7 linked regions of the Daphnia pulex genome follow. The protein of the gene in region 5 binds, or shares a complex with, the protein of the main gene of each other region. Links are inferred from orthologs where the notes say so. Each region holds a gene or a part of one and is shown on either strand. Other genes may lie near its edges. The genes, in order: serine/arginine repetitive matrix protein 1-like, E3 ubiquitin-protein ligase RNF113A-like, small nuclear ribonucleoprotein F, pleiotropic regulator 1-like, splicing factor 3B subunit 2-like, U5 small nuclear ribonucleoprotein 200 kDa helicase-like and armadillo repeat-containing protein 7-like.

Region 1 (4,085 bases), on a different chromosome or scaffold from region 5:
CGACGACGTTCCGCCGACCGGTGTCGAACGGGTGACTTCCTCACGGGCGAACGGCGTGGTGAAGGACGCCGAGGAGAATGATTACGAACAGGTGAACGCCTGGGAGATCTTCGAACGGGCGACCTGCGGACCGGTGACCGACGAACAGGAGATCTGCGGGCTGGGGACCTTCGAACTGGAGATCTCCTAGCGGGAGAGCGGCGAACGGGTGATCGTCTAGCTGGCGAGCGACGAGCGGGAGATCTGCGTGCAGGAGAACGGCGAGCTGGGGAGCGACGAACAGGTGATCGACGTGGAGATCGACGAGGCGAGCGCCTTGCTGGCGATCTGGCAGGTGAGCGACGACGAGGCGGTGGCGACGCCTTGCCTCGATTAGGAGAACGACGCTCCAATGAAGGACGTCGGCCGTCACGACGAGGTGAAGAGCGGGGATTGTCTCCTTCCTTCTTGATCACCCTGTCCTTGTTGGGGCTACGGCTTCTATCTTTGGAAGCTCGTTTGTCAGTACGGTCGTTGCGTTCCTTTTCTCGGTCAGCGCGCCGATCCCGGTCGGCCTTTTTGATTGCTTCCTGGATTCGATCTTGTTCTTCCTGCAAACCAATAAAGACGAAAATGATAGAAACAAAACTAATACCGCGAATTATTTCCGATGGTTGCATACCTTTCTTAATTTGATTTCTTCCTTCTTCTGTGCCATAAAGACCTCCGGAATTCCAGCAGACGATTCTTGGGCAGATAGTAGAAGATCCCACAATTCAGTCATCAGAATCCTGGCATTCTTGCCGTTGAGGAATCCAGTTAAATTGATTTGCATGCGACGAGGGTCAGGGTTCTATAGGTTTTAAGAAAAAAAAAAGACAAATAACAGAAAAATCAAACAACCGAAATGGAAAAGAGATACTTAAGTAAACGGACACAAATAGATTAGGTTTCGGTATGATCTCGGCGGATTAAGCGAGCAATACCTTTCAGGGGTTTGCTCTTTAAAAGGATAAGCTGTTTTACGTAGTTTGTTTTGGTTTGTTATTCTTGCCTGAGAGCTCGACCAGAGTGACAACAGAAAAAAATCTCTTATTTCTTTTTTTCCAATCTGGGCGTTGAGGGAGAACCGAGTTTCCCATCCGTCATAAAAACACCGGCGACTCGGTATCAAAGAGACGACCACGAAGCGAGCGGCACAGGAGTTGTCCTGTCGACTGTACCGCCCAGCTATTGGGTCGTCATCTGACTAGTCCTACTCCTGATGGCTACCCCGGCACCACGATGCGATCGATCAGGTGATTTTTAAAGATGGGATGGTCTGTCGTCATCTATCAGGCAAATCTAGCAGCTTCGACCACGTTAGCGAACGGCACAGGAGTCTTATCTCTGTCGACTGTACCGTCCTGCTTTTTGGGCCGAGACGAAAGGATCTCTTCTTCTCAGCTTCTCAACACGGATTCCTGAGTAGGCCTACTGCGATCAGAGCCCGACTTAACCACACAGGAGTTTTCCCTGTTGTCGACTGTGCGGTTAACTATCAACTGGGGGAGAAGGCGTTGCATTGGCTGGGCGAAAGGCGATCCCAGAATTGCCTCTCATGACTCGATGGTTTAGAACGTGCCGTATTCCATCATTTCGCAGGAGTGAATCCTTCATCGGTCGACTGCGAAACGTTGGAAATCCAAATCCATAGACATCGTGGCCGACGATAAGAGGAATCGTCCACGGAACAGGCCGAAAGGTGAATCAATTCGAAGAGAAGACCTCGAAATAATGCGACCAGGTCTCGGTCGAGAAAGAATCCTTGCATCCATCATGTCAAGGTGGTGTGTGTGACATGGTGACAACAAGGCTTTGATGCAATTCCACATTAAGTCTTCATAACACAGGACCCAAAAGTGTACAAGATATTGAGATGAGCATGAGCACAGACAAAATATAATCAAAGCCATCTGGGTGGTGAAAACTTAAATCATAACTTATCTTTCACATTAAACCAAATTACAAACAAGAACCAGATGCAAAGGAGCTGACGTTCAATCATTCTTAGTATGTGATGGCTATTTCAGCCTGATATTAAAAAAATTGCATAAGATAAACAGCAGAATGATTGGTGAAAAGCTTTGGTGGCAAATGTTTCCCATAAGATAAATCTACACGGCTGAGATTAAAAGGATATTACCTTGTCAGCTTCGAGCTGATTAAAAACATATTCCACCAGGACGTCATCTTCAATTCCTCCCATAAGTTCTGTAATTTTGGTTGTGATCCATGGTTTGATGGTTTCCAACTTAACTTTGCTCATATCCACCTGAATTTTTTAACATGCATTAATGAATATTAACATGTAACTCATATTGATGTTGTTAAAGTTGCACAGGTGATCAATAATTTACCTTTCTAGTCACATTTTCAGCAAATTTGATAGTCTTCAAAAGCTTCTTCTCTTTGTCACTAAATCTATTGTCTTGCTCAGTTGAGGTGCCCTGTTGAAAGAATTCAAATATTACAATGCATCCCATCAGTTAACAAAACAGATTTCACAACTGATGAAGCAAGAATTTTACGACCGAGTTGGCGTGTCGAGATGCTGCAAACAATTCAAGGGAATAATAGTTCTAACTTGGGTAATTATTAACACTTACTCTGAAGAAACCGGCATCAGTCATTGTGAAAGAAAAATACCTCAAATCGAGGTAATTCTATAAAAGTAAAAATAAATGGGAGAATAAAGCCGGGCTAAACTCAAGTCTTAAATGGAGGACCCCTAACTCAATTGATCGCCTTCCCTCTTGTCCCTTCAGTCAGGAAAATGGAAACAGCATTGCCAGTTTAGAAAAATAAATCGACTGCTGCATATGCATAGCGCCAGCTCCTGCCAGCGCTTCTGAAAGAAAAAAAGGACAAAACATATCAAATATGGGTTACGCTACGCATAACTAATTTTCTTCGATGACAAAATCAATTGGACGAATAACGGGAAAATGCCAATCTAAGGTTTCCTCTCAATTTATCGACGCGAAATAATGTATCCCGAAATCATGGCGCGTCCAACCGGTTAATTTGACTATAAGAAAAATGTCGTTTTTTCAGTTGAAGCCAAAATTGCAAGGAACCTGTTTTGTCATTTGATCCTGCGAGTAGGTAGCAAACGGTCACTGCTTATTAAGTAGACTTGAGCTCCTTGAACTCTCTTTGCCTTTATAAAATAACTGTACGACCGGTGCAACTTTGTCCCCAAAGGCTTTTTTTTTTTAAGTGTAATAAGATAACCATCAAAAAGTATAAATCAACCACAGACAGAAATGGTTGAAAAGAAGAAAAAAAAATGAATTAAGAAAATAAAAGGCTTTCTTGTTGGTTGACTGACTACATCCCTTTTAGCTTGAGCTGGCATGCGCGCACCTTTTACGTGACCGCTAGGCTATAAGACGCGGCGGTGTGCACAGGTAAAAAGCGTCTCTTCCTTCCCAAACAAAAAAAACTCCAATCCTCAAGAAAAGGGAAGAAATAAATTAGCAGCAGCAGCAGCAGCAGCGAAAGAAGAAGAAGAAGAGCCCAAAGGTATATAATAATAAAGGTGCATATAGAGGGAAAGAATGTGAATGAAGGAAGAAGAAGAAGAAGAAGGTAAGAAAAAGAGCCCCTGGAGCATAAAGGCAACAAACTGTATTTGAGAAAACCTGGTTGGATGGAATTGGTTAGAGGGGGGATTGGGAGGTAAAGTTGTTGCTTCTTCTTCTTCTTCTTCTTCTTCCCATCTACCAGCAGAGACTGTTTTTCAAGGTGTGCAGTGCCAGTGGGTATTGGCGGAGGCCATGGAACAGAAGCAGAAACCAGGCCTTCTTCCAGGCTGACTCTTTCTGCTGCTGTGTCAATTCTCATTCTCACCTGACGACTGAACATACAACAATCGACATTGCCCTGCTAATTGTGTCAAACAAATTAAACTAATCAAGTGCATTTTACCAATCGATTTCGAGTTAATAGTGCGTGTGTTAGTGTGTGTTGAGTGTCTGGTGCACACCTGAGTCATGGCTTTCTTGTGTCCAGTGAGGATACGCCGAGGCAAGAAGAAAAAAGGTAACAAACTTGTCCAATTT
Region 2 (3,745 bases), on a different chromosome or scaffold from region 5:
ATGATATATACGCTGAAACTGCATATAGAGAACATAGAGCGAAAAGTCTTCATAAAAGGGCAGCAGCCCCATTAGAACGCGCGCGTAACTTGTGTGTGCTGTGTAAAGGATTGATCCTGCTGCCGTGCTGGCCCTTCTCTCAAAAGCCCCTTTTATACGTGTATAGTAGTGTAGCATGTGGATATTATATATCTTGTCTGGATCATTCAGCTTCTGTATAAATAGGCCCTCGCTTTATGCATAACATGTATCTATCATTGAGTCCCTATTTATAGCCTCCTCCCCTCTTTGCATAGAACGAAACGGTATATCTGCAAAACTGTGCTGCAATAAGTCAATGTGCCAATCCTGCTGGAGGAGGAAGTCAAAGTTTGGCTAGATGGGCTTTTCAGTCAGCGACAAGTTTGACCGAAAAATTACTTATACGGTACGGCGAAATAAAAATATTTTTTGTTTTAAATGAATAGGTATAGATATTGTAGTGCAGTATAGGTGTATAAATGGAGTCGGAGGATGGAGATCAAGTAGCTTTTCATCGGACGGTGAAGCGCTTCGTGCACTTTTGCGGCCGGGTTTTCTGGCCTGCGCGTTCCTTATTATTTCAACTTGATGAAAAGTGCTGGGCTAATTAAGGCGCTGTAAGGGAATCATCAAGCGAACGGCCCCCAGCAGCTAGCAGTCTGCTGATGATATAGAAATAATAAGCGCGACATCGGGCAAAGACGAAAGAGGCCCGCGGAGAACAAGCCCCCAAAAACCAGCAAAAAGAAAAAAGTAGACGAACGAAGAGGAGATAACAGTTCAGTGGCCGCCGCCCCACCCAGAAAAAAAAAATTAATAAAAATTGGGTAGGGGAATTAAGAAAATAGAATTATTATTCAGTCATATGTGGCGAAAAGGTTCTTAAAAGCTTCGGCAGTCTTTTCTAATTGATCGCCAGCAGAAGCGTATATAGTGCGTATTATTATTTCGAGGAGAAGAAAGAAGAAGGTCCTCAGACTCTGTGATGCGCCGAGCACATCTATACATATATACACGCCACCAGATTATTAGAGGGGAACCTACTAATTAATGAAAGGATGCTCCTTTTTGTACTGCCTGTGTGTAATCGAGTCGCCAGAGATTTTTAAGTAACGTGATTCTTCCCCCCATCCATTTCATTTGCACAAGGAAAATAAATCACCAAGGCATATGGAAATGATTAGAAGAAGACCATAAGAAATGACGACGATGCCTAATAATAATGATGTAAAGCAATAAGATATGTCGATTTTATTTTTCCAAAACAAATGCAAAATAGCAAAACCCGTAGTAGTAGTAGTAGAAACGGATGACGTTAAGATATATTCAAAGTCTCAAGCGGGTTTTCGGGGTCGGATCATTAATACCGACATCGTAGATGACAAATCTGGATCACAATAATAAAAGCTTTTGTGTGTGTGTGTGTGCATAGTTCTCTATGTACTAGTCTCTGTTGCTGTGCATATATATGTAAATCTGCAGCAGATCCCTTGCTGCGTATTCAATCAGTCATCAAGAACCCAATTAGAGGAATCAGACAACAGTGCACCGGTAATCCTTTTGAAAAGCCGACGACGAGAAGACGGAAGGATTTTTATTTTATTGTTCTCGTTTGTTGACAAGTCAAAATACATTTTTATATACAAAAAAGGAAAGCTTGATCCAACAAGAAAATCCACAAACAAACAAAAATGGCCGACGACAATAAAGTTTGCACGTTTACATTCAAGAAACGAAGAGGAGGAGGAGCCGCCATGAGGAGAAAAGCTGATGATGACAAGAAAAGCAGCAGCGAAGATGAAACTGTTGTTGCTCGAGTGGGGAAAAAGGAATCGGCTGGACTTCTTTCGGCTAAAACTGTGAGTTATTGAAAGTCTCTGCAAAAAGAATTTGTGTTTCTCATCGTGTTTTTTTCTTTTGGGGTTGACAGTTCAAATCCACGAAAAAGTCCCGTCAAGAAATCCAAAACAGCTCTGATGAGGAAGTCAAGGAAAAGGTCACAGTCGTCTTCCAGTCTGACAGAAGTGCTGAGAACAAGAAAGACGATCTTGCCACTTCCACAGTTCAGATCGACACTGCCGTCGATCAAGATGCCAGGACAATTTTTGAGAAATCTTTACAAAGTAGGTCAACTTTTTTATTTAAAATGAACCAAAATAATGTTTTGTTTCTTTGACAGTCCAGCAGGAGCTGAAAGGCAAAGCAGATGACAAGAAATATCGTGGCCTTGCTAACTATGCCCAGTACTACGAGAAAAGAGATACAGCCCAAGGAAATGCTGCATCTGCCAATGTGAGAAAAGGCCCCATGCGAGCCCCAGCCAACATCAGGTCAACAGTGAGATGGGATTACCAACCAGATCTTTGTAAAGATTACAAGGAAACGGGTTTCTGCGGTTTCGGAGGTATTCAAAATCTAACCAAAAGTTTTTGGGGTTATTATCATCATTCAGTTGAACTTTTATAAAGCTTTGCTGTGTTTTATTAGACAGTTGTAAGTTCTTGCACGACCGTTCCGATTATAAATTCGGATGGCAGTTGGAGCGAGAAGAAAGGGGAAAAGGTGAGCCGGCCGAAGACGACTCAAAGTATGAAATACACTCGGACGACGAAGATTTGCCCTTCAAGTGTTTCATCTGTCGCGAGTCGTTCCAACATCCCGTTGTCTCCAAGTAATAAAGACTCTCTCCTATTCATTTATAAGAAGGAGAATTTAACGCAAATTTTGACACGGCAGGTGTAAGCATTATTTCTGCGAGGCCTGCGCCTTGAAACATTACCGCAAATCGCAGCGGTGTTTTGTTTGCGGCAAACAAACTTTTGGTGTCTTTAACCCGGCAAAGAGCCTCATCGAGCGGCTCAAGTTGGAGGAAGAAGGCAAAACTTACAAGGAAGCAGACAGCGACGAGGAGCTCAACAACTTGGAATTGATTATGCAGCCGTCTGGCAGCACTACTGGTAAACCTACGGGAGCAACAGCAGATGTGGAGGAGCCCGTTACGGAGATTGAGCACATTCACTACGCAGACGAAGGAGTCGTGGCCAACGATACGGATTCAGATGATGACAGCGATTGAGGATAAGATCATCTTTATTTTTTCCCCCTACCATTCACGTGTAAGAATACATTATTTTGTAATTCCTTCTTTTTTAAATAATGCTTTCAATTGACGTATAAAGTGTATTTAACTTTAACGAGTGAATTTGCATAGGCACACAATTTAATTTTTGTTTAAATCATTTCATTAAAATTTATCAAGACTCATCTTCAGAGTCGTCCTCCTTCTCGATCAGTTTCCATTGCTCGGCGATTTCCAGGGTTGATTTGGCGCAGTCGCAAATTTTGGCCATTTCAGGTGTTTCTGTGTGCAGAGCGGATTCAAATGGGTTACAAAAAAGATTAGTTCAAGGCACCATGTCAAAAGTTTTAACTTAATCCTCTTTACCGAATTTGGTGAGAACTTCCAGGACCATAATAACCTCAGGTTGCAACAACTTTTCGGCCAACTCTTTCGAATGACTGGCGATGTTTTTGACGATAACAGCTCCTCGATATTGCACGTCTTTGTCCGTATTGCTCAGTAGGAAGCAAAGGATTTCTTTCCACTCTGTCGCCTATTGACAAATTTAACAAGAGAAAAAAAAAGTTAAAATCAATTCCAGGGAAAAAGTTAAAAAGAATGGAGGCAAACCTCGAAAACTTTCCGTGAAGCCCGTTTACTGAC
Region 3 (2,713 bases), on a different chromosome or scaffold from region 5:
TAAATGTGATCCTGACAGTAACGTTTTAATCTTCGTTGTCTAGTTAGGAACGTACATTTGTACAATGTTTATTATTTGTTTCAAACCGTAGTAATTCATCTCGGAGTTCAACAGCCTATAACTCCCCTAACGTTCAAACGACAGTGATAACTTGCGCATGCTTACCGTCCTATAGTGTTAACAGCCGTGTTACATGCAGGCCAATTGAAACGTATTGAACAATTAATATTCATAAGCAATTAGGTATTCTTATGACATCAGCTGGTACCAGCGTGAGCCAATCGGAAAAGGTGTTTCCGGATTTGTTTGCCTTTTTGATTTATACCTTACAAAATATATTTACGAACAAGTTGGTGTAAGTGGAAAAGAAATGTGACTTGAGTTTTACGAGCATGCGGGACTGCGGGCTGCCTACTAACTTCATTCATAAGGTAGCTTAACCATTTTCCATTTAGACAAAGCCTTTATTTTCCGACTAAATGGAAAAAATCGCCGGAACGTAAGAAATTCCAGTATACTTAACATTAAATCACCAATACGGTAGACAACGGTTCTGTGTTTGGAATTTGGATACTGAAAAGCTGTTTTTTTACTTGTTTGTCCTTCGTTGTCTGTGGGAATCTTGTAATGTATACACCAGAACATATTTTTTAGGGTTTCCAGGTTTCCTATACAATAACTTCTATGAGATAGATAGGAAATGACATTATGTATTAAAGGATGAAAAATTCAATACAAACAGCAATCAATCTCTCATTTCTCCCTCCTCATCATCTTCTTCCACTCCACGTATGTAAAGTACATTGTTGCACCTGACAAGAACTTCACCCAAGTTTCCAGTACAGCTTCCATCAATATATTCTTCTGTGTTTGCCAACTGTGATAATATAAGAAGAATTATTGCCATTGTTCATATATGCACACTGTTTCGTGCAACAGCATGTTTTCATTTTTTTACTGATGAAAATGCACTACATGGTATAATTATTACAGTACCTGAAGATTCATGTATCCATCAACTGAAACGAGATAACCTTTGTATTCATGGCCCCACTTCAGTTTTACCATAATCGGTTTGCCGGTTAAGGCATTGAGAAAGGGTTTGGGATTGATGGGCATGGGTGCCTGAAAATATGAAATATAACATGTTAGTAAATGGTCGGCTAAAAAGGACCACCCAACAAGATTTAGGTTTTGAACTTACTGCCATGATTTGTATTTGTTTTAGTCAACGATTTTACAAAATTTGATTGAATGTTTGACAAGCGAGTCAAGCCGCGTTATTTCAGTTTACACGTTCTGTAACGTAAAGATCAGAAGTAAGGGTTGCCAAGTCGTCTTATTAAGTACATCAAATTTTGAGAAAGTTTTTCCATTTTGTAGGAAAGAAATTTACATATTTAAACCTAATAACTAGTGAACTAAAATTACCTTATAAAATAGGATTATTTAAATAATTTTTTGATGTAATGTAATGAGATATCCATCGTAGAGCAACGATCCCGGATCTCTGGTTCCGGACCAAAAACTCACGTCACCTATTCTGTTTTCAATCATAATAGCTGGAAAAATTTACAACCAAAGGAGAATTTTTTTTTATGTATCGTTATTAAGTGATTTTGTTTAATAAGTGACTCGTGGTCGTGGATATGAAAAGTCTTTTTAACAAATTGGCAAGAACAGAGAAGCTTCACAACCAGAATTAGCGCTCTCTAAAAAGTAATAAAAGAGGGTTTTGCGTTTCGCGGAATTAAAAAGATAGGAATTTATCACAGTTTGTCTTGATACAGAAAGACTTTTTAGGTTCAATTTTACATTTTGGAAGCTTTTAAACGGTCAACAAACCGGTTTCTTATTTCACTCCGGTGTCCATTCCGCGCAATTTCCTTTATTATCGGTTACCGAGTGTAAAATCTGGCAGTAAAGCTTGTACGGTGTATGCAGCAGAGGCTGAAAGCAGTGCACAGCTGGAATTTGCCGTTATATACGTGGACACACAACAAGTTGCTCAGTTGCTGACACTAAACTCTATCTTACCATTCTTTCATCTTTTTGCACTTTTTTTAAAGTTGACGTCACTTTCCAACCGATTGTTTTTCTTCCATTTCCTCACTGGGTTCCATCATTGGACCAAATAAACGAACAATCGTTCCACTGTTAAGACGATTTGTTGATTTTAGTCTGCCATGGACATTTTTTGAAAACAAAAGCTGACTTGTCTTTTTCAGCAATATTGAAATAAGATGTTTGGTGAGTAAATAACTCTCCCTTTTCCATTGCTCAGAAGTTTGTGTTGATTTTGAGTTGGTTGTTGGTAGTCACAAGCTTGACAGTTAGTTTCGTGAATGGTTAAAGAAATTCAATTGTAATTGAATTTGGTACTCTCTCATTTTCAGGGACGGTATGGATTTTGATTCACCGGGTACCACCTACATTTTTCCTGATGTGATGCAACCCCCAATAGAGCTTGAAACTGTCAACCCCCTGCCAAGCAGGGGTTGGCCGGGTGGAGTTAAGGGACATGTTCGCTCTGCAAGTCATGGTGTCATCGGAGTTTCCTTATTGAATCCAACATTACATCCACAGCCCTCTTCGCCATCCCCTGCAATTGGATTATTGGAGGCAGCTTCAGGATTGAATAAAGGGGAAAGATCTTCACAAGATGCTTCTTCTGCCAATCCAACAGTTTTAAAACTTCCTTATACAGGTATTT
Region 4 (3,815 bases), on a different chromosome or scaffold from region 5:
CAGGGTTCTCGGTTTCCCTTCCATTTTTCCCGCCAAAATACAGTGTTTCAAAATTTAAGACCGCGTGAAAACGTGAGCTTTGTAAATTAAATAATTAAATGTTATGCAACGAAGCAAAAGGTTTTCTTTGACTAGTCTTAACATTTTTTAACAATATTTTTTCTAACTACATTTTGGGATGAATTGAAAACCAGAAGATTTTTATGTACTCGTTCTTTACGTGTGGCATTTGGCTGCTTGTTGAAAGCTAATACGTTATCACAAACAAGGAGTGACCCTAAATTATTCTCAAGTAGGTATTCTAAATTGCTAAGAACCTCATCACTATTTGATTGCCTAAAACATTCACGCTGAAATCAGTGATTATATAATTGACAAGCTAAAGCTATCCCGACTCGGGATAGCTTGGGATTCCCGAGCTATCCATAATATAAATAATCCATAAGCGCATAATAACTCAGCACATTACTGAAGTAATAATACAAGTTTGCGCCAACAAATCGTTTAAAAATCAAGTTGTATTGTACGGTACAGGAGATGGCGAGTTAATAACGACGCCGTTTTAATAAGTCGGGCTTCCAGTTGATGGGGTGTGTCTCTTCATTAGCTTCGTCGTCCTCTTTGTAGATTTTGATAGTTTTATCTGCTTCGGCCGTTATGAGACGTGAACCACTGTGGTCAAAGGCCATGGCAAATACTCCAGCTTCACTATCCATTGAGCCTGGTTGCACGGGGGCCTTAAATTTGAATAGGAACAGTTAAAGAAACGTTCAAAACACAGTTTCAACTAAATGCATTTATACCTGTGAGCGCTGGAAATTGTATCCAGTCTTGAAATCCCAGAAGTGGAGTGATCCGTTATCAGCACCCGATACCATTACGTTGTCAGCATTGATGGCAAGGCAATTAAGAATGGCATTGTGGCCCGAAAGATTCTGAATAAACTTGCCTTCGGGGCACTTCCATTGTTTGATATTATCCGGCGAGGCGGATGCAAACATGTAGCTGCAACATAATTTTTTAAAATTAATTGTACATTCAATGTGTTGTGAAATAATGGGTTAGCTTCATACAGGTTAGGGTGCATTGCCACTGCCCGGACACTTTTCTTGTGATTCGTCAAAGTAGCCATTGATCTGCCAGCCGCCAAATCCCATAATCGAATAGTGCTGTCATGACTACTAGTAATAATCTATGGTTTCGAAAGGTAAAATTAAAATTCTGGATTATGAGTGTCGAAAACTGCTTTGAATACTTGAGGTTCGGCTGCTTGACAAACAACTGATGCTACGGTGTTGGTGTGGCCAGTTAGGGTATGAATGTTTGCTTTGGATCGCATGTCCCAAACACGGGCAGTAGAGTCACGACCACAAGTTACTAAAACGTCGATGGTTGGATGAAGGGCCATACTATAAACGGCACTCAAATGGCCGTGGTAGTGCCGGATAACCTGAAAAAGATTTTGTTAATATTTCTTACACGGTAAATTGAAATGGTGATGGCTACTTTGTTGTACTCCAAATCCCAGCATTTCACTTGTCGATCTTCACCAGCACTGAAAAGGTACGGATGTCTTGGGCTGACTTGAAGAGCACGGACGGTGCTGACATGGCCTGTAAGCGAAAGTTTCAGCCGTCCAGAGGCCAAATCCCAAATCTATAAGAATTTCAAAATGAAAAACTTGACTCTTATAAATGTAAGGAATAAATTACCTTAATAACTCTGTCAGCAGATCCTGTGCAAAACCATTCATTCGTAGGATCAACAGCTACACAGCGTACCCAACCAATATGACCACTGATAACACGACAAAGTTTCCATGGTGGATGCCACTGTGGCTTGGGCATTGTTGGGGCTTTACGGGTTATTAAAGATTGTGTATTGTTTGTGGGTCCACCTAATAAGATTCTTTTTTAGTAAATAGATGGGAAAACAATGACTGCATATTTTTCTCACCTGCAGCATAGCCTGGTATACCAACAGTTGATACATTTGCTGAAGATTGTGGCATCTGATGTCCCCCGATTGTTCCTGAAGGCATAAGAGCCAAAGCTTGGCTGGTCTCTCCATCTTGTTCTGTAAAAAAATAAACATTCCACTTAAAAATACATATTTCCAATCAATATAGGGGAAAATAAATTACCAGATTTGTTAGTTAGAGCAAGCTGTCCTCCAGGGTAATTTACCGGAAGCCCTGTTTTTTTCGCTATCTCTTGTTGTTTCCTGACCAGTTCAACTATTGGACCATACGTATCTTTAGCTTTTGATGATCGCCAGGCAGACACTCTAGATAATCAAATAGAATTGAGTTACTTAATACGTTGAAACAATGTAAAGTTATTTCAACACACGCTTTTTGATCAAGAGGAGGTAGACTACCCTCTTCTGACAGAAACATGTCGTGGGTTCTCTTCAGTGATCGAAACACTAGCGTATGCACGGAATGCTTCTGAATATCCTGTAGAGATATGAAATTTTGTAAATTAGAAATTGTTCATAATTTTTTTAATTGCAAAATTTACCTCTCCCATGATTGTTGTTATATTGTAAAAACGAAACCAAATCAAAATTTACATGAGGTTTGTACTCGATTGTTGCCGGCGTTGTCTAACGTACTGATCAAATCGCCATCTGTTAGTGACTAACAGAAGATGTAATTATTCACGCCAGATGGCTTCTATTGGAAGCGTCGCCGGCAACATGGCACATTGAAATTGATTTATATAAAAAAAACGCAAAATGGCGGCATCTAGCCATGAGTCGGCTTGGTGTTTATGTGTATTTTGATGCAATCAGGAGTTTCAAAGTTTGTCAACAAAAAAGTTTTGGGCTTGTGGTTGCCCATAGAATCGGGTGAAGTTTTTAGTGGCTTTGGTTTGAACTTTGATAGTGGGCCGTTCCGAGCTGGTCAATAAGTGACGCGTTTTGGATTACTCGTTTACTGACATTTAGATACAAGTGTGCTACAAATTCGACAACAGCATGTCGAGTACTTTTGTGGCAGATACCACAGACGATAGCTCCTCTGCTGGAAACACACTAATCATTATTGTTGATAATGACACTGGTGACATATCAGTTGATCAGGAAACACTTCAACTTCTTAGTAAGTCGTCACATTTTGGAGGGAAATCATGTTTTTATTCATTTACCTTATTTTCAGGCTCTCAAGAGAATACAACTCTAAGCGTAGTTAGAGTCAATGATGTTGCAGGTGACAGCAGTACTGATGTCAACATAACTGTAGAAGAAGATTTCAACCCAGTCTCTAGCCCTGTACTCAAGGAAAACGAGGAAGAATTGATGGAAACTGACCAGGAAATTGCTCAAGTTAATGGAAATGTCAAAGCAGGGCCAAAAATTAGTGAGCAAGTTTTAGAAACAACAGATCCACTCTTAGCTCTTGATCAGGAAGAGATCGAGAAAATTGAGCATGCATTACAAGCAGAAGCTGGGGCTTTTTTCAACAATATTCTCCCACCAGAAGCTGGTCTAGATGACCTGCTTGATCCCGAACTTACAGGAGGTTTGCCAAATAACTTTGTGTAGTAGTAGTAAGTGTATCTAGATTATATTATTGTTTTTTCTATCCAGCTCCGGATGACACTGAGGCTGTTGCGTCCATCTCACTTGACCATTGTTATTCAGCTGCGCATGGCCCGGCAATTAGTAACTCGAGAAACGCCGACAGTGCGATGAGTTCTGAAGTTGATAGTTCTGATAGCGTTTCGACGGGTATAGGTGGTGGTGGTGGATCAACGCGCCAACCTTCACCTAAGCGGCGTTCCCAACGCCAGATTGACCGGCAAGAAATG
Region 5 (4,268 bases):
ACAAAAAAGGTAGCAGCCGATTCCTACAGTCTCGGGGTTAGCATCGAAAATAATAATAACAAGAGATGGGCTTCATCGAAATTGTTTTTTCCCGATGATGGCATCTATGGTGACGGATCACATCTCGTACGGGGGTTATTGCATACATGAATATGAATGGACCCGCAACAGAGGAGGTGAACGAACCACATGAGAGAGCCCTACGTCGTTGAAGGACACTTTGCTTTTATCAGTTAGTCCTGTGATACGTCCGGCAAACATCAACGTGATGTGGCCATCACTTTCTCTTTCATGTCATAGAAACCAACACGATATCAATGCAGGGCAAGGTAGATTACGTTCATGATTTACCTTTGTTCAAAGCCAGCCAAGGGTCGAATCAATAAATGAAGTTACCTCGTCTGCAAATGATATATCGATAAGCATGTCAGCAGACGGTTAGAGGACAAGGGTTGCTTAATAATCTACTGATAATAAATATACTACTACTAGCTGCAGCACACACACACACAATCTTCAAAGTGGGAAAAGCAACCAAATTGGTTAGTTTCTTGGCCTTGCGGTTGCACTGACCCTGGATCAACAATGCCCTATGGCGAAAAAGGCCGACTCTTTCACTCATCGTCAAAAAAAAGAAAAAATAAAACCGTAAACGTATATGAGAGACAAGGAGAGAAAAAGAAACGGTAATGGCTTCGTGGAAAGAATGTCAACGTGTATACGTAATGGCGTGAGAGTCTGAGAGAGACCTAGTGAAGTTGCTACACGGCCTGTGTGATGAAAGTCTCTTATCGATCCGGCTCACAGGCACATCTCACATCAGGGTTGTTGATAATGAAACTGATTTCTCTTTTAGCTTCTACCAACGTTTGATCGGTTCACCGACACCAAAAAATCTCAAGAGGGGTGAAATGGCCACACGCAACGTTTCTCATCAGATTTTACGAAAATGTGATTGTCGATGAGAATTTTCCCATCGAAAAACGATAATATCAAATAGGCTGGAAAAAACAATCTACAAAAGGTATGTACAAACGTAAAGGGGAGAGAACAAATGCCGTCGGTTTCACTTGATGCTGTAGACCTCTGGGCAGAGAGAAAACCAACCAAGACTGCCTTGAATGAGAAACTGAAAACAAGCCCCGACGAAAAGCCTGTCAACACACACCAAAACAGAATCGGCCAAACTTACCGGCCTCGCGATGAACTGGACGATCTCAATGAAAACAATACGTTCACAAACTAACTAATCACACCACTCCCACCGCTTTAGCAATACTCTCAGAGCACTTCGGTTTAAGAAACCGTTTTGACTGCAACTGCATCTCTCTCAGTGTGCCACCACAAAAAAAAATCATTTAAGATTCATCAGACTGCCATCTGGTGTTGATAGTGTGCACAAGCCTTTATTAAAAATTTAGGGCGCGTCGTGAACGCCATCTGCTGGTTTTCTGTGGTACCTCAATGAATATACGATTTGATCATGGCTTTTAGATTCGGCTTCATTTGGTCGTCGTTTACTCGCTTCACCCGTTTGGTTCTCTAACAAACTTGTTTTGCTATCGTGTTTCTTTCAAGGCAGTTTTAAATTAACGTAAAACTTCATCGTGTTTTACTTGGACGCGTCTATTTTGTCTATTGATTTGAAACACCCTTTTGATTGTGTGATTATTCTTTAGAAACAGAAAGTTATTTAGTTGAATTTGACATGGATCATCACATGCCGCCCGGCTACGGCCAGGAGAATTACATGTATGGAGATCCTTCAAGGTCCTTCCAGGGTAATGCTGTCGGTATGTATGGATCAGGTGCTAGACCGATGTCACCTCCTCCAGGTGATGAAGACATTCCCGCCCATGAACATCTCCCATCAGCACTTGAAGAAGTCCTTGCTTACAAAGAATACCGAGTACGAGAAACGGGCCACTCTGGAGAGGTTGATAACATTAGTGAGTAACACTTTTATAAATTTTCTAGTCTTCATGAAAGGTTTCGCTTGCAGGAATGAACTTTATTCTTTTCTATTTTTTTTTTAGTTAATGAAATCCCTGTCAAAACAGTTATAGAAACTGAAGGAACTATTGAAGAGAGGAAAGATGATTTCGGTGGGGAAGAAAACCTTGAAGAAAAAACTAAAACTCAAAGAAATCAAAAGAAGAAAAAGAAGAAGAAGCGCACTAAGAGACATCAACAGAAAGAAGAAGAAGAAGAAAATGAAAGGAATGATGATGCTGAAGAACCTCCACAAGTGGATATTGAGTATGTCCAGGAAGAAATCATTTATGACGACAAAAATCCTTTCTACCGACAGTTTGCCAAAATCTTCGAAGCATTTAAAATCATTGATGAAAAAACTGCAAAGAAAGCTGAAGAAGATGAAGCCAAAAAGAAAGAACTTCAAAGAAGTTTAGAACTTAAGAAGGTCCCCAAGTTTGCAGAAGAGGAAGATTTGGAGGAGAAAAAGGAAAATGCTGATGATGACAAGCCAAAAGTTTCAAAAAGAAAACTAAAACAACTTACTCGACTAAGTGTGGCCGATTTGAAGCAATGTGTTGCCAGACCAGACGTCGTAGAGATGCACGACGTTACTGCTAGAGACCCCAAACTGTTAGTTCTTTTGAAAGCAACCAGAAATTCGGTCCCAGTTCCTCGACATTGGTGTGCGAAGCGCAAGTACTTACAGGTATATTTTACTATGCACAAAGGGTAAACAATTCGTTTTAAACAAATTTTTTTGTACTTTAGGGAAAACGTGGAATAGAAAAGCCTCCTTTCAATTTGCCCGATTTCATCAAAAAGACCGGAATCATGGAAATGCGAGCTGCTTTGCAGGAAAAGGAAGAGTCAAAAACACTTAAAGCTAAAATGCGTGAGCGTGTTCGACCCAAGATGGGGCGTGTTGATATCGACTATCAAAAGTTGCATGACGCTTTCTTCAAATGGCAAACCAAACCCAAGATGACGATTATGGGTGATTTATACTATGAAGGAAAAGAATTTGAAACTCGAATGAAAGACAAAAAACCCGGAGAGTTGTCTGACGAACTGCGAACTGCTCTCGGAATGCCTGTTGGTCCTAGTTCAAACAAGTAAGAATCTATTCTTAATTTGACACCGTTTTGTGTTACAGTAGTTAATGTTAATGGCGTTTTCTTTAAGAATTCCTCCTCCTTGGTTGATTGCCATGCAAAGATATGGTCCACCACCGTCTTACCCTAACTTGAAGATTCCAGGATTGAACGCTCCAATTCCTGATGGTTCTTCCTTTGGCTACCATGCCGGAGGTTGGGGAAAACCTCCTGTCGATGAATTCGGGCGGCCTCTGTACGGCGATGTTTTTGGATTGACTGGAATCGCAGGCGATGTAAGAAAATATCTCATACTCTGTGTATAACAAATTCTATTAACCACGAATACTTTTGCCTCTTTTTCAGACAATTTTACTCGACGAAGAAGTTGATCGTACCTTGTGGGGTGAACTTGAATCGGAAGAAGAGGAGGAGGAAGTTGAGGAGAGTGAAGAGGAAGAAGGAGAGGACGAAGAAGGCGCCATTGATCAATCAGGTCTGGTTACTCCTGCAGAAGGACTTGCTACTCCTTCGGGATTCTCATCTGTACCTGCTGGTCTGGAAACACCAGATATGATTGAGCTACGAAAGAAAAAGATTGAAGCAGAGATGGAGAGGTATGTAACCAGTGTCAACTACTATACAACTGCTACTTTACATTTTTAATTATTCCTATTTTCACTCTTATTTAGTAACGAAACGCCTCAGCTGTATACCGTCCTTCCAGAAAAGCGAACGGACAGAATCGGTCAAGCGATGATGGGATCTACCCATGTATATGATATCGCTTCAGCTACGACCACTCAGAAGAGTAAGATTTGTCATTTTTTAGTTAATTTGTTGTTATTATGATTTTTCAATTAAATTTTTCATAGGTAGTGGTGGTGTGGAACTTAGTTTGGATCCCTCCGAGTTGGAAGGTTTGGACTCTGAATCAATGGCCGCTCGTTATGAACAAACATTGCGGGAGCAACAAGGCAACTTGGCTAAGGAAGATTTCAGTGACATGGTGGCTGAACATGCCGCCAAGCAGAAGGTAAGTCGTAAATCCAAATCAGTGATTATTAACTTGATTAATAAAATGTTTTCGTAATTGCAAAAACAGAGCAAGAGAAAGAGACAACAACAACAGACGGACACTAAACAGGCCAAGAAATACAAAGAGTTCAAATTTTAACATCCCTTTTGAAGCATTAAAAA
Region 6 (4,230 bases), on a different chromosome or scaffold from region 5:
AACTCGCTGTGGTTGGTGATGAGGATACCTTCACCTTTGGTATCGTACTGCGGTCGACCAGCACGACCCAACATTTGCAAGACATCGAGAGATCCAAGTTCGCACCATCGACCTTTCTCCGGATTGTAGACTTGCGTTCCTTTGATGATGACAGTATGGGCTGGCAAATTGACACCCTAATATTGGTAAAAAAATCGTTAAAATTTGACCTTTTCTAAAACGCTCTGATTAGTTATTATATTTACCCAGGCCAAAGTAGCTGTGGAAACGAGCAACTGGATGTGACGATCAGCAAACAAATCTTCGACCAAAGCACGGTCCACACGGCTCATACCAGCGTGATGGATGGCAAAACCATAGGGAAGTAGGTCCTTCAGCTCCTGATTCTTAACTTGTTCGGCTTCATTGCGCAAAACTTCCGTAGAAGCGGAACCCTCACGTAGAAAGGCTCCCAGAGAGTCTTTCTCCAAACAAAGATCGCGGATGGAACGTGCTGTTTTGCCGGTTTCTTTCCTCGAATGAACGAAGACGAGAATTTGATTCTTGCCGGCGTGCTCCATTACCTTCTCGTATACAATTTCGTTCATAATCTGATAACGCTTAACAGCTTTCTTCTCCGTGATTCCAACGTACTGCTGTTCCAAGGGTACAGGGCGGTAGCTGTTGTCGAAGAAGAATAGACCCGTCTTGGGTCGGACACGCAAGAAAGTGGCCACATCTTCGTAATTGGGAAGCGTGGCAGAAAGACCCACCAATCGCAAATCTTCTTGAGTGGATTCGACGGTGCGGATAGTACGAGCTACCAAGGCTTCCAAAACTGGACCACGGTCGTCGTGCAACAAGTGAATTTCGTCAAAGATCATCAACTTGACCAGTTGCGTGTAGGTTCGGTCTCCTGATTTGCGAGTGATAATGTCCCACTTTTCGGGCGTGCAGACAATCACCTGAGTTTGTGCAATTTCTTCACGGCTGAGTTGATGGTCGCCCGTCAATTCGGCAACTTTCAGGTTGAAAGGCGCCAGTCTTTTGCCAAAACTGCCCACCATCTCTTGTACGAGCGAACGCATGGGTGCAACGTAGATGATTTTGAATTCATCAACGCGAATTGTTCCGTCCGGATTGATGTACTTGCCCAATTCTCTCATCATTGTCAACAAAGCCACGTTGGTTTTGCCGGCGCCGGTTGGGGCGCAAATTAACATGTTCTCATCCGATTCGAGAGCTGTTTTATAGATTTTAGACTGGATTCTGTTGAGCGTTTTGAATCCTTCGAAAGCTGGTTGGGCGTAGGTTGGAAGTTTATCGATAGGAATAAGCATTTCATCAGCATCAAAAGGCCTAGGTTTCAATGGTGGCACATGAACTTCTTCGTAGCCTTTACGCTGTTTTCGGAAAGAACCTGCAATACAAGTCCATGTTTAAATTTTGATTGAAATTAAAAGATGAGAAACTAAATTATTATACCTTCTGGAAGTGTACACTTTTTGTTGGCCATGAAGTGAGAGCCCTGAGCGAATGCAAGATCCTCCAAGTCCAGTAGCTCTCGAAGACCTGGAATGCCACTGTACCCTTCCTGTCCTCCACCTCCGACTTCTTTGGAGGCAGAAGTACCTTGACGTGAACTCTTTTTAAAATCGACTTCCATCGGTTCGATTCCAGTGTCGTCCCTCACAGTATCTAATTGTCGAAGGATCTTGTTCAGATGGGGATTGCTCTTCATCTCGTCTTGAATGCTTCGACGTTCAGCTTCGCTCTGTGCGGATGCCAGTAACGAACAGTAAAGAATCATGTGTCTGTTTTGTTTAAGCAGCTTGATGAAGTCAAAGCAGTCAAAACCAAGCAAGACAACTAGCTGATTTTCACATTCTCTTTCATCCTGGATATTCTTGAGGATGTTGAGGACTTCACCGGCTCTGGCTTGAGACACCATGGGGTCACTGTAAAACTTTGACAGCTTCCTCTGAAGCCAATAGGCATCAATATCGAGGGGATGCAATTTCTTCTCTTTTTTACCGCCCAAATCGACGCCACTTGCGACAGCATCAGCATGAATGGCATGGTCTGTTTCAGCTTCATCAGCTTCATCCTCACCGTCATCTTCTTCTCCAATCTCTCCATACACATTTTCTTCTTCGTTTTCTTCGTCTGTGTCTTCAAATTGCACATTGATGCCATACTGGTCGTCCATTTGCTCTTCTCCAGTACCCATTTTCTCGTCTTGGCCCCAATCTGTGATCTTCTTACCCAGGTTAACGAGCAGGGCAAATCTTTCTTCTGGCAAGGAGCCAAGCATAGCCTCTGTTTCCTTTTTCTTCTCCTTATCCTTGAGCTTGTCGTTCTTGAGAACCGTGAGGACTTCATCAGCAGCACCACACAACACATCTCTGGGTTGATCACTCAACGCTTCCTGAATAAAACTGAGAAGCACTTCGTAAGTCTGTTTGGTGTCCTGCGTTTTGGGCCTGTAGATGATGCCAGAGATTTCATCCAGGTTGTCGCTTTGCAAAGGTCCTTTTCCACCATTTTTACCACCAATATCAGTTTTGTTGGGATCACGCTTCTGACGTTTTGCCGGTTTCATCCGTTGGGCTTTGTCACCCATGCGAGTTCCTTCCAACTTCCCAGTAAGGGACATAACCTCACCGGTGGCTTCATCTCGTGCTCGGCGATCGATTAAACGAACGTCAGCTTGTAAAACCAAATTAGAATTGGCTTTATACTCGTACTGGAGCGAACGTGCTGCGGCGTCCGCCATTTCTTACGGCTTGCTTTTAGACACTGACGAAAGTTTCGTATGCTGTTCGAACAGGCAATTGACAGCGTTGCCAGTTTGTAATAAAACAAAATTCAGAATTCGAGAGGAAATTTGTATATTGAAAAATTTAAAAATCTCGCCATAAAACTCTGGGTCGACACGCGCGAAAAAAGGGATAAAAAAAATACAGAAAAAAAGCAATTAAGAAACTAAAACACCATTTTTGTAAGGAGAAAAAACCAAACATTTTTCAAAAGTCCATCGGTCTTGAGAATGAAATGAGAAAAAAACACAGAAACAAAACCCCCCACTATGCGAACTACAAAGGAGATGGAAAAACAAAATCAGGTCTAAATAGGGTAAATCTATAAACGTTAAAATTCACGCAGCGTTATTGCAAAAATAACTCTAAATCGACGAAATAAAGAAACATTGGTAGAGAAAAAAGCCATCTAACGCTGTACAAAGCTTTTTTGAGAGTAACGCAGATATGAGGTGGGACATAGGGATGAAAACAATATTTTTTCAATGATGTTGTACGAGAGGTAATAACGACACCAGTCAGAGAAATCGTCACTGAGCTACGGCAGCCTGGTCAGTGGCAAGATACAAAACAACACTGCATCTTCACAACGAAAATTATGCACACACAACAACACGCTCCGGCATGAATTTGTCATAACAAATACGAAAGCCAATAATAATTAAAAAAATAAAAAATAAAGTCAAAACGTTTTTTTGTCTTTTGTCAAAAAGTTGCCCGCAAGTAAAAATGGTTTCAAACAATATCAACCGCCCAGCGCGCCAAGTGTCATAGATCTTTTGAGATCCGTCATCCGCACAAAAACTTGGCTCCTATTCCGCAATACATCCAGCACCAGACATCAAAATTTAAAAAAAAATTTCCTGTCGACAACAATAAAAAGAAAAATAGCCATGAAACAACAAAACACAATCAGACAAAGAAAAAGGAGGGGAGACGTTTGTTCCATGTCAAAATCAAGCGGAAAACGGATTAAATTTCTACAGTCGGAAATCCGAGCGGTTGTTTTTCTTTTTCTCGGAAAGGATTAAATAGTATATATATACGTACACATTGGGGTGTGGTATAGTCATTTGTTTCACTCGCCGAAGCGAGTGCAAGCCTTTTTCCATTTGCATTGAGTGCACCACTGCTCGCGGTGTTCCATTCCGTAAACCTTGCGGCACTTTTTGGCCTCGCCGCGGGGCCGACGAACGGGACTGCTCTTGACTGTAAAGACCGAAGCTCCGGTAGTAGATGGTGGCGCTAGTGGGGGCGCCGGTGAAGGAGACGTTTTGGGCGACACAACCACTTTGGCCTGTTTGAGCGCATTCTAGAATAATAACAAATAAATTTTAAAAAATTAGTGAAAATCTATAATTGACATTGATCACGGTCGTGTAGTTTAGTAGGGCGTGGCAACTTACCGAGCCATATCCGTAACCGGAAGACC
Region 7 (2,971 bases), on a different chromosome or scaffold from region 5:
GCAATCAAGACGTTAGTGCTTACAATCGGTTCCTACATTGTACTGTGGTCGCCCTATTGGGTATTGAACGTGATCCCCATTGTTCATCACGAAGATTTTCTGTGTGACGCAGTTCCTGGGTACGTTACAAACAATGGCTCTATAACGGTGACGTGGCTTATGTATGCATCAATCAGCATTAATCCACTGTTATACGGTCTCTTGAATCGTGCCATCCGAATAGAAATCAAAGGCAAAATGCAAATGACAAAGCATTTTTTGTTTTGTAAGAATACGCAAACAGAATCAGCAAATCGAGAAGAGCATGGAGCTAATGCGGCAGAAAATTTCTGGTAAATTTTAATTTAATCCCTATAATTTATTAGTTATGTATTTACATTCACCCATTACACTTTGAAAAACTGTCTAGGGAGTTCTTGGAACGGACTAACAGTCCTCTTCCTGCTTGAAGTTAAACGTAGATCAGCTGAAGAGACGCGCCGAGAAATAAACGCATAGGCTACATGGATGTAGGTTTTATTTTAATCCTTTAAATTTCAATAATTTAGCGGTACCTTGATGAACAACACATTGCTGATTAATACTTGTGCACACGTATTTACAGACAACAATTTTTCTGGCTTCTACGACTTCTACTAGAATTTCTACATCATCACCAACTCGACAGGGATTTGGAAAAGTCATTGATTGTTCATAAACAACATAACCAGGCCCAGGTAACTGGGTGCCAAGAACAGCACTGACAAAGCCATTAAGCAAAACCCCATGAACTATAGCTTCCCCACCAAAATGAACTGAATTTAAGTCACCTGTCAACTTGGAAAAACTTTCCACATCTGCATAAGTTACTTTTTTAAGTTCTACTACTGTGGAGCCTTTCTGAATGAATGATTGAAGAAATCTTTTGTTTATCCCTTCAGCAAGATTCATCTTCATGTTGGTGCTCTTCTGGAGTATACACTTTATTCTCTTGATGAACATTTCCTTTCAAGTTAGCCTGAACTGATGCCAGATGACTCTTCTAAGAAAATGGTAGCCAAGTTCTTTATGTTTTGATTTTCACTATGTTTTAACAGTTGAATCTGGGCAATCAAGTCGGAAGTGGCAACATCTGTTGATAAACATAGATGAGAAATTAAAATCATAAAATGGTGTTACTTTTATTAGATCTTACTACCTGATGGAATTGCTGATGAAAGTAGAAAAATCAAAGTAGTAAGTCCGTGTTTCACTAAATCAGGGTTTTCAGACTTTACAAATTCTTTAATATGATTGAGTCCATTGTGTTTGAATATTATATCTTGGTTCAGGGGATCATTGGACAAATTACAAATACCCTTCAAACAGTATTCAACAAAGAATGGATTTCTGCTTTGCAGTCCGTTTAAGAACAATTCAATTATTTTGAGTTCTCTGATATAATCATAGTTCAAGGGATCATACGCAAAATTGGCCAAATTAGCTAAAACTTGTTCTTGGCTTTCTAAAATAATTGAAACAAATTATTTAGTAGTAATTTTTTAAAATTTGTTTTTAAAGATGAAACATACCAAGAGAATTCGATTGATAGAATTCATTAACCAACTCTTGAAGGAATTCGAAGCGATCTACTCCCTTTTTACCCGATTTTCGATAAAGTTGTTTACGAGTAGTAAACATTATCCCTGAGGGTAGTACTTGTACTACCAGAAGGCATTAAAGTAAATGCGGGTGTCTGGGTGTGTAGGAGGGGGAGGGATGTGGGGGGAGTGTACGGTGTTCTGGGCCAGGCTTCCAGAACCTTTAATTCAGAATCAGAATAAATTTATAGAAATCTAAACTACTGCATCGATTTTCTTCAAACTTTTTGTGTAAACTTACAGTAATTTATCTCAGCGGATAGGTAAGTTTCGATTCATTTGGTAATACTAAATTTTATTTCATTTTATGCGGATTTAGTCATTAGCTTTTTGTGACTTAGGACAACCACAAAAACCATTAGGTTGTCTGTTGACAGTCTGTTGATGTCTTGTTCAGTAAAAATAAATTTCGTCAACAGTTTTGTTATTGTTACAGGATATTGTTCCTCTTTTAGAGAAGTTCAGTGGAACAAAGGTATATTGGTGTGTGCTATTCCATTTAAGAAATGTACGTAAATTCATCAATTATGCTAGGCAATATTTTGGGATGAACAACTCACTGGCCCCATTGGTTTGGTGGCAGAATACAGTTTTCTTAAGGAACTAGATGTTGTAAAAATGTTCCAGTTAAAACCTGGGTGCTTGCCTTCCATATCTGTTAAAAATATACTGTTCATCACAAGACCTGAAGTTGAGCTGATGGATTGTATTGCCGATAACTTGCACAGGTATGAATAATCTACATATTTTAACTTTAAATAGTCAACAATAAGTTAATTTACATTTCAGCGAAGAAAGCCAAGGACATTCTGCTAGTAAGGAATATCAGTTAATTTTTATCTCCCGATGAAGTGCAGTATGTGAACAGCGGCTCAAGGTTGGTTAAAGTTACTTAAATCAGCGAAGAAGAAATTGTTGACAAAATTATTACTTCATTTAGGACAAAGGAGTGTATGGAACTCTTACTTCTATTGATGAACTGCCTGTTGATTTTTTCCCACTAGATAGTGATGTCATTTCAATGGAACTCGATAATGTTTTCAAGGTATTTATTTATGAGCCAAACTTTGAAAGGGATTGCTTGTCATCAATTTCTTCAAATTTATTCTCAGGATTTATATGTTGACAATGAAATCAGCTCCTTACACCAAATTGCTCATGGGTTAATGTCCCTCCAAAGTTTATATGGCATTTTCCCCAACGTTGTGGGTAAGGGGCGCCATGCCCGTAACGTATTCGAATTGATGACTCGAATGCGAGTGATATTGGGGTAGACTGTGATCCCCCCATATCTCCGTTGTTCGACACTCTTATGATCATTGATAGGACTGTATATTTGATAACTCCTGTTG

The links.
Region 1: splicing factor 3B subunit 2-like (region 5) and serine/arginine repetitive matrix protein 1-like share a complex: the UniProt entries of both Homo sapiens proteins name them as parts of the minor spliceosome. The link is inferred for Daphnia pulex from reciprocal best matches to the Homo sapiens genes SF3B2 and SRRM1.
Region 2: splicing factor 3B subunit 2-like (region 5) and E3 ubiquitin-protein ligase RNF113A-like share a complex: the UniProt entries of both Homo sapiens proteins name them as parts of the minor spliceosome. The link is inferred for Daphnia pulex from reciprocal best matches to the Homo sapiens genes SF3B2 and RNF113A.
Region 3: splicing factor 3B subunit 2-like (region 5) and small nuclear ribonucleoprotein F share a complex: the UniProt entries of both Homo sapiens proteins name them as parts of the minor spliceosome. The link is inferred for Daphnia pulex from reciprocal best matches to the Homo sapiens genes SF3B2 and SNRPF.
Region 4: splicing factor 3B subunit 2-like (region 5) and pleiotropic regulator 1-like share a complex: the UniProt entries of both Homo sapiens proteins name them as parts of the minor spliceosome. The link is inferred for Daphnia pulex from reciprocal best matches to the Homo sapiens genes SF3B2 and PLRG1.
Region 6: splicing factor 3B subunit 2-like (region 5) and U5 small nuclear ribonucleoprotein 200 kDa helicase-like share a complex: the UniProt entries of both Homo sapiens proteins name them as parts of the minor spliceosome. The link is inferred for Daphnia pulex from reciprocal best matches to the Homo sapiens genes SF3B2 and SNRNP200.
Region 7: splicing factor 3B subunit 2-like (region 5) and armadillo repeat-containing protein 7-like share a complex: the UniProt entries of both Homo sapiens proteins name them as parts of the minor spliceosome. The link is inferred for Daphnia pulex from reciprocal best matches to the Homo sapiens genes SF3B2 and ARMC7.

Annotation. Positions count from the first base shown.
Region 1 is NC_060027.1:2,460,199-2,464,283, reverse strand, and holds the start of serine/arginine repetitive matrix protein 1-like, read right to left. Parts: upstream 2,801-4,085; 5' UTR 2,652-2,800; coding exon 2,628-2,651; intron 2,469-2,627; coding exon 2,379-2,468; intron 2,294-2,378; coding exon 2,165-2,293; intron 1,852-2,164; exon of another isoform or gene 1,034-1,851; intron 833-1,033; coding exon 662-832; intron 591-661; coding exon 1-590. Other genes in the region: SH3 domain-containing protein Dlish-like, read left to right, coding at 4,017-4,065. UniProt on the Homo sapiens protein: Part of pre- and post-splicing multiprotein mRNP complexes. As a component of the minor spliceosome, involved in the splicing of U12-type introns in pre-mRNAs. Involved in numerous pre-mRNA processing events.
Region 2 is NC_060022.1:4,929,451-4,933,195, reverse strand, and holds E3 ubiquitin-protein ligase RNF113A-like, read left to right. Parts: upstream 1-1,488; 5' UTR 1,489-1,712; coding exon 1,713-1,880; intron 1,881-1,951; coding exon 1,952-2,144; intron 2,145-2,200; coding exon 2,201-2,425; intron 2,426-2,508; coding exon 2,509-2,692; intron 2,693-2,757; coding exon 2,758-3,097; 3' UTR 3,098-3,245; downstream 3,246-3,745. Other genes in the region: protein unc-45 homolog B-like, read right to left, coding at 3,276-3,382, 3,467-3,635, 3,713-3,745. UniProt on the Homo sapiens protein: Required for pre-mRNA splicing as component of the spliceosome. As a component of the minor spliceosome, involved in the splicing of U12-type introns in pre-mRNAs. E3 ubiquitin-protein ligase that catalyzes the transfer of ubiquitin onto target proteins.
Region 3 is NC_060019.1:9,593,681-9,596,393, reverse strand, and holds small nuclear ribonucleoprotein F, read right to left. Parts: upstream 1,352-2,713; 5' UTR 1,211-1,351; coding exon 1,205-1,210; intron 1,126-1,204; coding exon 997-1,125; intron 878-996; coding exon 746-877; 3' UTR 737-745; exon of another isoform or gene 695-736; intron 683-694; 3' UTR 501-682; downstream 1-500. Other genes in the region: phospholipid-transporting ATPase VD-like, read left to right, coding at 2,404-2,707. UniProt on the Homo sapiens protein: Plays a role in pre-mRNA splicing as a core component of the spliceosomal U1, U2, U4 and U5 small nuclear ribonucleoproteins (snRNPs), the building blocks of the spliceosome.
Region 4 is NC_060021.1:1,388,871-1,392,685, forward strand, and holds pleiotropic regulator 1-like, read right to left. Parts: upstream 2,649-3,815; 5' UTR 2,532-2,648; coding exon 2,523-2,531; intron 2,459-2,522; coding exon 2,352-2,458; intron 2,287-2,351; coding exon 2,144-2,286; intron 2,077-2,143; coding exon 1,957-2,076; intron 1,898-1,956; coding exon 1,713-1,897; intron 1,657-1,712; coding exon 1,507-1,656; intron 1,451-1,506; coding exon 1,256-1,450; intron 1,193-1,255; coding exon 1,074-1,192; intron 1,006-1,073; coding exon 804-1,005; intron 738-803; coding exon 546-737; 3' UTR 501-545; downstream 1-500. Other genes in the region: death-inducer obliterator 1-like, read left to right, coding at 2,983-3,106, 3,164-3,526, 3,595-3,815. UniProt on the Homo sapiens protein: Involved in pre-mRNA splicing as component of the spliceosome. Component of the PRP19-CDC5L complex that forms an integral part of the spliceosome and is required for activating pre-mRNA splicing.
Region 5 is NC_060020.1:5,124,850-5,129,117, forward strand, and holds the start of splicing factor 3B subunit 2-like, read left to right. Parts: upstream 1-1,468; 5' UTR 1,469-1,708; coding exon 1,709-1,949; intron 1,950-2,036; coding exon 2,037-2,683; intron 2,684-2,745; coding exon 2,746-3,089; intron 3,090-3,159; coding exon 3,160-3,364; intron 3,365-3,434; coding exon 3,435-3,685; intron 3,686-3,760; coding exon 3,761-3,879; intron 3,880-3,943; coding exon 3,944-4,104; intron 4,105-4,173; coding exon 4,174-4,245; 3' UTR 4,246-4,268. UniProt on the Homo sapiens protein: Component of the 17S U2 SnRNP complex of the spliceosome, a large ribonucleoprotein complex that removes introns from transcribed pre-mRNAs.
Region 6 is NC_060022.1:2,646,595-2,650,824, forward strand, and holds the start of U5 small nuclear ribonucleoprotein 200 kDa helicase-like, read right to left. Parts: upstream 2,801-4,230; 5' UTR 2,756-2,800; coding exon 1,465-2,755; intron 1,458-1,464; exon of another isoform or gene 1,452-1,457; intron 1,400-1,451; coding exon 246-1,399; intron 177-245; coding exon 1-176. Other genes in the region: zinc finger protein 704-like, read right to left, coding at 3,877-4,110, 4,205-4,230. UniProt on the Homo sapiens protein: Catalyzes the ATP-dependent unwinding of U4/U6 RNA duplices, an essential step in the assembly of a catalytically active spliceosome. Plays a role in pre-mRNA splicing as a core component of precatalytic, catalytic and postcatalytic spliceosomal complexes.
Region 7 is NC_060018.1:4,531,617-4,534,587, reverse strand, and holds armadillo repeat-containing protein 7-like, read right to left. Parts: upstream 1,758-2,971; 5' UTR 1,660-1,757; coding exon 1,551-1,659; intron 1,484-1,550; coding exon 1,178-1,483; intron 1,112-1,177; coding exon 993-1,111; 3' UTR 501-992; downstream 1-500. Other genes in the region: probable G-protein coupled receptor, read left to right, coding at 1-332, 410-449. UniProt on the Homo sapiens protein: As a component of the minor spliceosome, involved in the splicing of U12-type introns in pre-mRNAs.